Linked DNA regions of Caenorhabditis elegans. The protein of the gene in region 1 interacts with the protein of each later gene in a biochemical or structural test. Each region holds a gene or a part of one and is shown on either strand. Other genes may lie near its edges. The genes, in order: cep-1 and cbp-1.

The links.
Region 2: the proteins of cep-1 (region 1) and cbp-1 form a complex in vitro, tested with the Caenorhabditis elegans proteins (one study listed by BioGRID).

Annotation. Positions count from the first base shown.
Region 1 is NC_003279.8:8,322,215-8,329,572, reverse strand, and holds cep-1 (Transcription factor cep-1), read right to left. Parts: upstream 5,279-7,358; 5' UTR 5,273-5,278; coding exon 5,233-5,272; intron 5,182-5,232; coding exon 5,102-5,181; intron 5,050-5,101; coding exon 4,976-5,049; intron 4,925-4,975; coding exon 4,762-4,924; intron 4,637-4,761; coding exon 4,544-4,636; intron 4,500-4,543; coding exon 4,339-4,499; intron 4,114-4,338; coding exon 3,876-4,113; intron 3,375-3,875; coding exon 3,209-3,374; intron 2,765-3,208; coding exon 2,623-2,764; intron 2,111-2,622; coding exon 1,897-2,110; intron 1,543-1,896; coding exon 1,306-1,542; intron 1,241-1,305; coding exon 1,119-1,240; intron 1,071-1,118; coding exon 866-1,070; 3' UTR 714-865; downstream 1-713. Other genes in the region: rpl-23A.2 (Large ribosomal subunit protein uL23B), read left to right, coding at 1-73, 121-313, 358-459; ythc-2 (putative ATP-dependent RNA helicase spindle-E), read left to right, coding at 5,590-5,654, 5,749-6,216, 6,267-6,539, 6,596-7,105, 7,159-7,358. UniProt on the Caenorhabditis elegans protein: Transcriptional activator that binds the same DNA consensus sequence as p53. Has a role in normal development to ensure proper meiotic chromosome segregation.
Region 2 is NC_003281.10:9,764,502-9,769,617, forward strand, and holds the start of cbp-1 (Protein cbp-1), read left to right. Parts: upstream 1-2,008; 5' UTR 2,009-2,196; coding exon 2,197-2,236; intron 2,237-2,289; coding exon 2,290-2,366; intron 2,367-2,418; coding exon 2,419-3,207; intron 3,208-3,501; coding exon 3,502-3,867; intron 3,868-3,919; coding exon 3,920-4,046; intron 4,047-4,178; coding exon 4,179-4,328; intron 4,329-4,379; coding exon 4,380-4,892; intron 4,893-4,942; coding exon 4,943-5,116. UniProt on the Caenorhabditis elegans protein: Acetyltransferase enzyme. Acetylates histones, giving a specific tag for transcriptional activation. May prevent DNA damage-induced apoptosis by inhibiting cep-1-dependent transcription activation of the programmed cell death activator egl-1.

The DNA.
Region 1 (7,358 bases):
ACGTTCGCAAGAACGTTCGTACATCAGTCCACTTCAGACGCCCAAAGACCCTTGTGACTGCCAGAGCTCCAAGGTAAGACGATTCTAATAAAAATCGATTATTAATACAGATTTTTATAGATATGCCCGCAAGTCTGCTCCAGCCAGAGACAAGCTCGATAGCTTCGCTGTCATCAAGGCTCCACACACCACCGAGAGCTCCATGAAGAAGATCGAAGACCACAACACCCTTGTCTTCATTGTTGACGAGAAGGCCAACAAGCATCACATCAAGAGAGCCGTCCATGCCCTTTACAACGTCAAGGCTGTTAAGGTATGTTCCTAATTATCAGTTCACGTAATATTTCAAATTTACAGGTCAACACCCTGATTACTCCACTCCAACAGAAGAAAGCTTACGTTCGATTGGCTTCGGACTACGATGCTCTTGATGTTGCCAACAAGATCGGATTCATCTAAATCTATTTGTTGTTCATTGTTCGTTACCGTTATGATGAAGATATTCATTAAACGTAGTTGAGCTTTGTGGGAAGCAATCGATTCGATTGCAACGTGCAGATTTGATTCAAAAAGGAAGCAGATTTTATTGTAGTATCAAATACCTCTTCAAGTCTCGGTGACATTCTCATTCTGAGTCGATTTATGTTCGTCGACAGACTCGTTTTGTCTCCGTAAACATCATTCGTAGCCGGACTGTCTAAAATTAGTTTTGAATTGATAAAACGAACAAACTTTATTACGAAAAAATGCGATTATAAAAAGGAACAAATGTCAGTTTGAGTATCTAGTGAGAAATGCGGTGCTTTGAAAAGGATGAATATTGTGAAAACAAATTAGGCGATTAAACCAGGTGGTGATATGATTTTTACTTTGGCAGTTTCATCGCTTCCTGGATGCGGTAAAAGCTGAGAAACGCTTCGTAGTATTTCGACAATTTCGAAGAATCGATACCAATTCTTTCGAAGATGTCATTATGTTTCTCGAATTCTCTAATCATATCCCCCATTGTATAAATTCCGTTTGCATTGAACAACACTGAATCGTGCCCTGCTTTTATAGCGGTGAGGAATCTTCAAAAAAAAGAAATTACGGCAATCTTTATAAATCTTTATAAATACCTTTCAAGTCCTTCAGTTGGCAATATATGGGAGACTACTTGCGTCGGAACCCAAGTGTATCTGGGAACTTTTGCTTCGCGTGCCAGAAATTCGACGACTTTTGTATACTCAGCAGTCGACAGCTGAAATTTATTGTGAATCAAAATTAATTATAATATTGCTTTAAGAGTGAGCTAAAAATACTTACAGTGAGCGTTCTAAACGAATAATTGGTACAGCGACTTCTCTTCATCGACGGAGATTGACAGTTTTCGTGTTCAGTTTCAATCGGAGGAACGCATCCATGAAGACGACTTGCATAACCTGTTACTGGTGGAGTTCTGTGCATCATTGTATAATCATTATTTGGAGAATCACACTCATTCAAAAATCTCTTCCGATTATTACTGTTTGATGGAGATGAATATGAAGTTGATGGTTCCATCTGTAAATTTAAAATCTTATTTCATATTGCGTTGAGAAAATAATTGAATGTCTTGGGAATTAGAGCATATATATTTAAAAAATTAGATCGAAATAAAACATTTCAAAGCTTTGTGGTCGAGCAAACATTACGCATAAAGGAAGTCATTGGGAGATAAGATATCGAATTTCAATTCAGTTTTTGTTCATTCGACGGAAACAAGAAGAAAACGTTTTTCTATAGAAAATTGAAAAGAATCATGATAAATATGGTATATTCTTCTGGCAGAAAATTGATATTTCTACAAGGCATGATTTTGGAAATTGAAGTTATTTACTATTTTCCAAATTCTTTTAAATCATATTCTAGACAAACCTGTGCAGTAGTATTGGTCACGTTGAACATGTTCTCTAGATTGACCTCTTGTTTGATATTTATCGATTCTAGGCTCGCCTTCTTGTAGGCAGGTAACTCGGGAAATCTGAAATCCTTTTGTTTTGCGTCTTCTCGCTCACAGAAATTCTTCCAGTCACGTCGTGGATAGGCAACAATTCGAACTTGTTTGATGTATGCGTGGAGAATTTCGTTTCTGAAATGGTTTTTATTTAGTATATTAAAATGTTTAAAGAGAGATTTTCACTATTAATTTTACTCGATTATAAAGAGCTTTTTCAAAAGAACCAATTCAAAGAGTGAAAACAAATGTTCAAAAAAAAAGATCAACAATTCACAAATGTATTTGATTATGAATAAAGATCAAGCAATAAGTGTTATTAAAAAATTAGCAAAAAATTGATTTGAAACGCGGTAAACATTGCCGCGTTTTTAAATGACTCCAGACTGGCCTAGAATTTTTACATTTCTCTTACACGACCCCCTATCTGGAAATAGTAAGAACAGTAGATGTCGTTTTTAAACTATTTTGGAATAAATATTTTAAATTATTTTGATTATTTGAAAGTAATCTTTGACTTTTTGTTAAGTAGAAAAGAAACACTGTTTCAAGTGAATAGAGGAAGGCATATTTCTTCAACAGTAGGACAGTAGTAGAAAGCTTTTTCAGTATTCTTTTTTCAAATTTGAAATTATGTCTGAATTTACCCATTTTCATCGTCCAAAAAGACCGCAAGGCACATCGTTTTTCGTCGATCATCCAAATCAAGGCACTTCTCTTGACACATGAAGATTATATCAAAATTCGCCTGAACTGCGCCTGGATACATTATCAATGTAAATGTACTTCCTGAAAATTATTTATTATGCAATAATTTTGAACATGTTGATTCAACTAGAATAGTGTTAAAATATTTAAGAAAGTTATTCGCCTGATCTGAAAATTTTGAAAAAAATGTTTAAAAATTGACTTTAAAATGTTCCATCGGAATTATTTGCCGATTTTCTCAAAAATTGCGATTTTCCATTTAATTACATTTTAAAAAATTTAATGTTATTTTTGTTGTTTTATTTGAGTTTCCAAATAAATTTTCATCGAAAAACTATGAAAAATCCGCAACAAACAGCTTCAAAAAATTACGGTACTCTTTAAAGGTGCATTCCATTTTACAGTTAACAAAAATTTGTCGTGTCGAGACTACCGTACTTGTGGTGCAAAAATCACAATATTTCATGTTTGGATAATACCAAAATTTTGTAGAATTCGCCGTTATATTCATATTTCGAACGTTACCTTTTTCCGCACTATATGAAAATTCGTGTTCTGAATTTCTAATGTAGAAAAATGAATCAAATGGAAAATGTTGTTCTCGTTCAGTATGACTTCGACACTTCATCACATCACTTCTTGGATTTCGAATCGCATATTCGACATTTTCTTTTTTGTCGTATTTCACAAACTGAAAATGTTTACAAACTTAGTGCCTCTTTTCTCAATTTGAATTTTTTGCACAAAATAAATGTTTATTTCGTATTACGGTAGTCTCAGAGATTTTTTTTCAAAAAGTGAAAACATTTACATCCTAACCAAGGGTGTCAAGTCCCATGTCCCGTTGTCCCGTTTTTTGAGTGTTTTCACGGGAACGGGACGTCCCGTTGTCCCGTTGTTAAAATTATCACGGGAACGGGACAATTTCTCTCATGATTTTGTTGCACATTTTAAAGTTCTGTTTTTGAGTTTTGTTTCAAGACTTAAATTCATGCAGATTAATGACTTACATGCAGTTTCTTTTAATAGTTTGCCTCGAATACACTAAAATTTACGCCAACTATGCACTCTTTTTTTTAACCGCCCCGTTTGCCCCGTTTTTTGAGTGTTTTCAAAAAAACGGGACGTCCCGTTGTCCCGTTTTTGAAATTTTCACGGGACATTGACACCCTTGATCCTAACGCCAACTCACCCTGATTCTAAGTGATAAATTACTGTTAAAATGACGTTTATCCAATTTCCATTTCACTTGAATCGGCACTAGACATCCCATTTTAGTCCAAAGATATTTTTCGTGTTCCGATGAAATTGCAAATGCCATATCTGAACTTTTTGCCACTTTCTGTTTAAGAACGTCAATTTCCATCCATTTTTCACAATCTTCATTCAAATTCATATCTGATTGAACTCTTACAGCCAAATTCGATGATCTGAAAATACCGTGAAATAGGGTGAATGAGAGTTTTTCTTAAAAATACTCCAAACCCAAAAAACAAATCCAGAAAATAAAAGTTGGATTTTTTTCGGTTTTGCTCAAAAAATATATATTAAACTTTCAGCGGCAGTCTTGATTTCAAAGCAACAGTCCACCTTTAAATATATATTTGTTTTAATTGAAAATTTCCACTAAATCCGAAAAATACAAAACTCCTCACTCATCATTTCCATCAAAAGGCACATTTGTTTCCGTAAAATCCATTTGTGTAACCTTCTGTGTCATAGTTTCAGAAAGCTCTCTCGATCCGTCATTTTCATAGGATAATGCTGTTTCTTCCGCGATTTTCATCGATTTTCGAATAAATCGTTCTCTGGCACGCTGGAAATTAGATTCTCTATAGATATAATTTCAATAATACTCACCTTCTCAATTACAAGTTGCTGTTCTTCCTCTGTACGTACTCGAAGATATTCATACTTTTGGGAGTCGAGCACAACTTGCGACAACGTTGTATTCTGAAGCTTTGGATTATTTAATGATTGTATTTTGATAATTTGCAAAAGTAGAAGAGTTCAACTGTCTTCAATTAGTTTTTTATGCCTTTTCATTGCATTCTTCACTTCCTATTTCATTTACTAACCGATAGATATGATTCATCATTCATTAAACCATCTTCTGATTTATCACTGTCGAATACATCTCCAGAAGTATTCAAATCCGGTTCGAAAGCATCGGAAATCTTTGGCGTTCTTTTCTTGGTTTCCTCGCCATTGCCCAGTATTCCGTTATAGATAGTTGAAATTCTGAATAATTAATTTTCAAATATAAATCATATTTTTCTTTTTTAAACGAACCCAGGCGTCTTTAATATATCTTTTTCCAGTGAATCTTCAGTCCCTTGACTGAATATTGGAGTGAATACTCCGTCCTGATAAAATTATTTATTTGAAAATTAGGATTTTTTTTTTTCGGAAACTCACTATCATTTTCTGGACAGTGTCGAAGCTTAGATTTTGTGTCAAATTTACGCCGATGTCCTGCGAATCGGGTATTCTTGCATCTGAAAGCAAATTTAATTGAAATCTATATTTCAAGATTTCTAGCTTTTCACCTTTCAAAATATCACTGAGTTGTGAATCATCGGGTTCCATTCTGCGCTACAAATCAAGTAATATTTTTATTTTATTGAGAAACAAGCAGAAAAAATTAAAAACTTAAGTTTAAACTTGCAAGAGAAACAAATAAAGAAGTTCACTTTCAAATTCAAGTGTGTGATACCGTACTCCATGATTTCGTTCCGAGACCCATCTGTGAATGAAACCCGACGTCCTTTAAAAAAGTTTGTTTTAGGCGCCATTTTCATTTGTCGGGATTTCTTTTTTGTCATTGTTTCAGCCTTGATAGATTTTTATCTCGTCGTTTGTCACGTTGTTGTTGCGTCTGAATATTCTCATAAAATTGCAGCATAATGTCAGACGAACCACCTGGATTCTTTCGGGGTGGAGTTGATAGCAAACGTTGTTCTAGAAACGGGTGAGTTCTGTTTGAAAAAAATTAATATTAAAAAAACAAATATTTTTGAAAAATCTTATATTTCAATCATCAAATGACTGTAAACAATTTTCAGGTTTGATGCATCGCGGGTCTTGCCACGAGGTACAGATAATGACACTCGCAAAGAGTATCGACGGGTGGCGAATGAAATCATTCGTTCGTTTCTGAAAAGTGGACAAAAGAACACGACACTTGAACCTATGGGAAGAGATCAGAGAAAGGTGATGCACGAGGTCGCGCTACTCAATGAAATGACAACCAAATCTCATGGAAGAGAGCCAGATCGGTACATGATTCTGTCGAAGAGAGTGAACAGACTATCCAAGTCAACTCTTGTTGCAACTGAGCCAATCACTCCATCCTTCGAGTGTCTTCAGAAGCTGTCGAAGTTTGTCGAAAAGCATCCGATCACCAGAGAAGAAATGGACGAGTTTTTGACAGAGACACAGACAAAACAAATGCACACCACGAAGGGGCATATTAGTGATAGAATGGTGATCCCACCAAAGTCAAAATGCTCAAAAGAGTTACAAAAAGTCAGGTTTGTGAAAACTGTATAAATAGTTACTCCTATAACATTAAAAATTTCAGAAATTCACTGCCAGCTTCCAAATATTGTGACCAAGTGCTGAAATCTATTAGCTCGTGCAATGTGGTTATCATCAGTGGAGGAACTGGATGTGGAAAAACTACACAAGTACCACAATTCATTCTCGATGAAGCGCACGAAAATAATAAACATGTTCGTGTGATGGTCACACAACCTCGTCGTATTGCTGCAATTTCAATTGCTGAACGAGTTGCGAGGGAACGTGGAGAGCCCATTGGACGCACTGTTGGATATCAAGTTAGACTTGATAGCAGGTAATTCACACTTTTCTCTCGATATCACTTTGTTTCAACTTCATTTTTCTTTGCAGACGAAGCGACGATACTGTTCTGACATATTGTACCACTGGTGTTCTTCTAAGAATGCTCACATCTGACCCAGTTGCCTCTGGAATAACGCACATTGTGATGGACGAGATCCACGAACGTGAAATCAACACAGATTATCTTCTAATTGCACTACGTGAATGTCTAAAAATGCGTCCAGATCTCAAAGTCATTCTGATGTCAGCAACGATCGAAGGAAATATGCAATTGTTCTCGAATTATTTTGAAAATCATTCAATGGATGTGATTCGTATTGAATCTCGAGCATTTGATGTGAAAGTTTTCTATTTGGATCAAATTCTTGCAATGACTGGCTATCAACCACCTGAATCGAAAGCCTTCTTCTCTACTGCCGAATATGAAGAAGAGGATTGGAAAGATGAAATTGAAGCTGTTGAAAGGGAAGAGAAGGATAAAGCCAAGCAGAGAGCTGCTGATAGTTCACTTTCCACTTTGTCTAAACCAGTAACAAAGATGGCTGCGAATACAAAAAGGTAGGTTTCTTATTCATGTAGCGACTGACTCTTCTCAAATTTCCAAATTTTAGAAATTCGCCGATTGAAGAACGCGAGTGGACTTCTGGGCCCTGCAGTACACCAGATGGTGATATCATTGACGAGAGAGCAATGCGTCAGTACATGAATATAATAGGGAATCCAGATATTCGTCCTGTGATTACTGTTGAATTTCGTCCAACCACACCTAACTCGGTATTCATCAATGATGTGAAATATACGACGAATCCCA
Region 2 (5,116 bases), on another chromosome or scaffold:
ACAGTAATCAATGTTTCCTTCTAACTAGATACTATGTTTATTCATATCATTTTTGGTTTTCAGTTTAGGACCCTGTTGGAATTCTGCTTCCAACGAACATGACCGATTGTAGATTTTTCTATTCTAGAAATATTCGTATTCATTCACATATAATATACTCAACACGTCTAGCTATTCCCACACTTTATGTTTAAGAACAGTTCAATCATGCGCATTATCGTAAGAATCATGAATTACTGTATATTCGGATCCTTAATTGCACCTTCGATACCGAAAGATAAGGAAACGAGAGCGTAGAGAAACGGACGGAACGCCCAGCGCTGAGCAGTAGAGGGGCGCATAGAGTGTGAAACGGAGGCCCCGCCCCATCTCGGCCACACTATTACAATCTTGAGGACAGCAGCACGGCGTCGTCGTCCGGAATCTCAGTCTTCATCGTCGTCAACTTCAGAAGTCTATTGGGATGACTGAGAACTACTGCCAGTCTACCACCCTCCGCCACCCTGTCGCTCCGCCTCTCTTGGTGATATCGACAGTCGGACGAGGAGGGCTATTGCCCCGCCTCTCGCACTTTTTGAACTGCCGCTCTTCCGTCCTCCTCAGTTTTTTTGCTTCTCCGGTGGTATTTGATAATTTCCTTTTAGAACATTACACTTTCGATTATTCTCTATCTATTCAAGCCACTGCCGGCTCATGAGAGTTCAATGCGAGCTCACAAACTGAACCATTAAGTGCTCAATCGTGGTTATCGATTTTTCAGAGCTTCAAGTCTGGCTCTTACTCTGGCATTACACGAAGTGATAATATACAGTATTCAACTACTAAATACTATTGCTCTACGATTTTCTATGTATTTTGCTCCTAGTAGCTCAAATTCATTATTAAATTTAACTTTTATCTTTGCAACCTCATCATTCATCTATCTGTTTCGCTCTCGTTCTCTCATCTTTCAAACTTTGTTAATAATGTTATTTTCTTCAATATCACACCAAAAATTATAATCAAAACTTTCATCTCGATCCATTAGATGCTTGTAAACGGAGCCTGTCCAAATGGCATATTCCTTCGTGTGCGTGCGTGTCGCGTGCGGTTAATGTTCTACCGTATCTCGCGAAACGCGGTTTTCGTTGCGAGACACCCACAGCATGGGGCACCCGCTGTCGGCGTTCTCTCCCGATACACACTACTTCGTGGGTGGCTGACTCGTGCTGTCTGTCGTCTCTCCCACTGACCATGTTATTTTGACGAACGGTGTTCTGCGCTTCTTCACGATCATGAACTTTTGAACGTGTCACGTGGAAAATGTTTTGCAACTTTTTAAGTCAAAATACAGTTCAGAATCGGGTCAGTAGTACCATGTGAATCGACGGGATCATCTGAGAAAGAGAAGTTAGCCTCATAAGGTTGGCTTAGCAAATATCGATCGAGCTAGATATACCTGTAAGTATCTAGAGCATTCATGTTTTTAATGGTCCCAAACACCTTTAATGCTTAAAAATACCCGAATTTCACAATATAGATGCCCGCCTTCTTCATTATGCATAGTATTTTTTAAAAATATCTCTCAAGACTGCATAACAACTTTTTTTTGTTAATCCGTATATTACTATAGTGTTTCTAATTAAAATTTGTTTTCGAAGTTTTGCAAAATTGGCTATGAATCCAATTTTAAGCTCTAAATTTATGATAGCTACAGTAACCCATTCATTGGAATTTGATGTTATTAATTCAATTTTAGCATTTAAACGCTCCTTCTCTATTATTACACGCTTAAACAACTTATACAATGGTGCAGGTAAACTTTAAAAAGTGCAACCATCCTCCGTTCATTCTATTGATTTTCCATCTCCTTCTCTCTCACTGTCTGTCTCTCTTCAATTCGCCTCCTCTTTTCATAAGTGCTCTCGCTCTCTAACCACCCTCCACTCATTACTTCACCGATGTTCTTCTCACTCTTCCTCCTCCCTCCTCCGTTCACCGACAAAAATCCATATATCCATTTCATTTTTTTCAGAAACAAACAGCTATATCTGGTGATTTTGCCAAACTAACCCAAATAAGCGGGAACTCTGATGAAGTAGTGGTTGACGTGGGAATTCAAAAACCGACGGACGCAACCAATTCAGGTGTTCCGAGAAGTAGAAAGAGTTCACTTGGTTCGAATTTTGTCAAATATATACATTTTTCTACTAATTGATGGATGAACCACCATCAAAAAAATCTCGCGCTGATAGCGGTAAGTTGCTAGGAAAGTTAAGATGCTACGGTATGATCCTTTAAACTTTTCAGACTATGATTCTGGGTTAGATGCGCTAAGTGCTCTCGAAAGTCTCGAAGCATTCCCAACTTCTAGTAAAGATACAGATGTAAGTTTTTTTGTTTGAATTAACACTCTGTTTTATAAAAATTGTTGTTCAGGTAGACAATAATCCAAGCACATCAGCTGGAGGATCCGGTGGTCCTTCTGGCTCGACACCTCATCCACAAGGCACTCCACAACCAGCACCATCAAACAATGGCGGGTTCAATCTACAACCAGGACAGTCGCAACCTCAGCAGCCGCCACAGAATATGGGAGGAGGTGTCAATGGATCAGTGCTTCAAGAACTTCTAATGAATCCATCACAAACGTCGAACAATTCACCTCGGCCGCAGGCATATCCGCCTGGACAGCAAAATGCATTTAATAGGAGTCCAATGATGCCAAATGGTACACCGAATATGATGTCACCTCCATCTATGGGTCGAGTGCCGGGGCCCAGTCCTGGAGGTCCACAACCACCAGGCCCAGGCCAACCACAAATGCGACCAGGCCAACCAGGAATGTTCCAAGGAGATCAGCAACAGCAAATGATGATGGGTGCACAAGGACAACAATTCCCAGGAATGATGCATCGATATCCGTACGCACAAGGTGGTCCTCCACCAGGAGCCCAGGGAATGCCTCAAGGATATCCAGGAGTTAGTCGGGGCGGACCAACTCCTGGACAACCCATGGGACGTGGTGCTATGATGAATGGAGCAATGCCAAGAAGTGGACCAATGCCGACACAAGGAAGACCTGGAATACCTCCAAACCAACAAGCAATGATGCAGCCAATGATGACTGATCGGCAGTTTATGCAACACGGACAATATGGTCAGCAGCGACCAGAATTTATGCAACAATATGGTCGTCCCGGTGGATATCCAATGATGCATCAAGGGGTAAGTAGAAACTATTTCCTGATTTCTATTTCATTTTGGTTTGATCTTTAAAAAATGCGGGAATTTTTTTTGTTTTTAACCTAGAAAATTGGTAAGATCAGCATGATCTTAACTGTGCGATTCTGACAATTTTTGAAGATCAAACAAAAATGGAACACTTATTAGCTTGACGTGAATTTGGCCAAATCAAAATCGATGTGTAATTGAAACTTAAGTTTCCAATAATTCCCTAATCTTCCACAAATATTGGTTGGAAGTTGCTTGGAATCATAACAATAATCTTCTACATTTCAGATGATGATGGACAGTAATGGTCAACCGATTCGAGGCCCGAATCAAATGATGATGATGAGCAATGGGCATCCAGGAATGTCACACGGTCCTCCAAATGGTCAACCTGGACCACAAGCTGCTGCAGCACAACACGCTGCTCAACAGCAAGCTGCTGCACAAGCTCAAGCTCAGGCGGCTGCACAACAACAACAGCAGCAACAACGAGAGCAAGAAGCTGCGGCGGCAGCTCAACGAAATGGTGCTGGAAGGGCGACAACTCCTGGATCAAGCATGCTTGCAACGCATCAAGATCCCGAGAAGCGGAAGCTTATTCAGCAACAACTTGTTCTATTACTTCATGCACACAAATGTTCTCAACGTGAGAAGGTATGTTATACAGTATGTTCTGGTTTCCTTCATACATCATCAGCTTTTACAGGAAAATCGTGATTTCGCTGCGAAGAATCAACCACCTCCACATGCTGCCTGTACATTACCCCATTGCTCAACGATGAAAGAAGTATTGACACACATGACAAGCTGCAATGTTGGTCGTTTATGTCATTGTAAGTATATTACCCGTCGTGTCGCTTCTTTTTCTCTATCTGGAAAGAGTTTCGAACATTTTCGCAAGAAGAAGCGCCTATTCCCACCCAAAATTTCGCTTCACTCTAGCCACTGTTTGAAATCTCTTTCAGCCGATACCACACAAACTACAAAAAAATGTTCAGTCGCTCATTGTGCATCGTCTCGCCAAATAATAGCTCACTGGAAAAACTGCTCAAGGGAAGATTGTCCTGTCTGCAAACCACTCAAAAGGATACAAGATACTCCATTACAATTTTCATGTACGTTCTATCCTACTCAAGAACATTTTTTAAATATTTGATTATTTTCAGTGCCCGATCTTGCAAATCTAATAGGAGTCAACGGGAATTCGAACGGAAGCGCAGAAGGTGATGGACTTCATCAGTTTGGATCGCCAGCGATGCGAACTGGAAATATTACAAATTCTCTATTCGAAGGATTCAATGGCAATCCATTCCAAAACGGACCAAATCGTGGAGGACCGAGACCACCTGGTGGAAATGGAGAAATTCCAAACTTGCCACCACCAGATATGCCAGATTGTACGAAAGAATGGCATCATCAAGTCACAAAAGATCTCAGAAATCACCTTGTCGGAAAATTGGTTAAAGCGATTTTCCCGGAACCGAATCAGGAAGCGATGAATGATAATCGGTTAAAAGATTTGATAGCCTATGCCAGAAAAGTCGAAAAAGAGATGTTTGAATCTGCAAATGACAGAGAAGAGTATTATCATTTGTTGGCTGAGAAAATTTACAAGATACAAAAAGAGCTTCAAGAGAAAAAGAATTCAAGACTCAATCAAGGAGCTGCTGCACATGATCGTAAGTTTTTTTTTTTTAAAATTTCACCCTTTAACCAATTTTCATTTCAGAATACGCAATTCCACCGTCGAACGAGCTCGCTCAGATGCTTGGTGTGGAAGGTGGACGTAGTGATGTTCATTCTGAAGGAAGTAGTATGGCAGTTGCACCAAGTCAACAAAATCAACCATGGGGAGGTGCTCCGAATTCCAACATGCATCAGCAGATTCCTCCGAATGGACAAG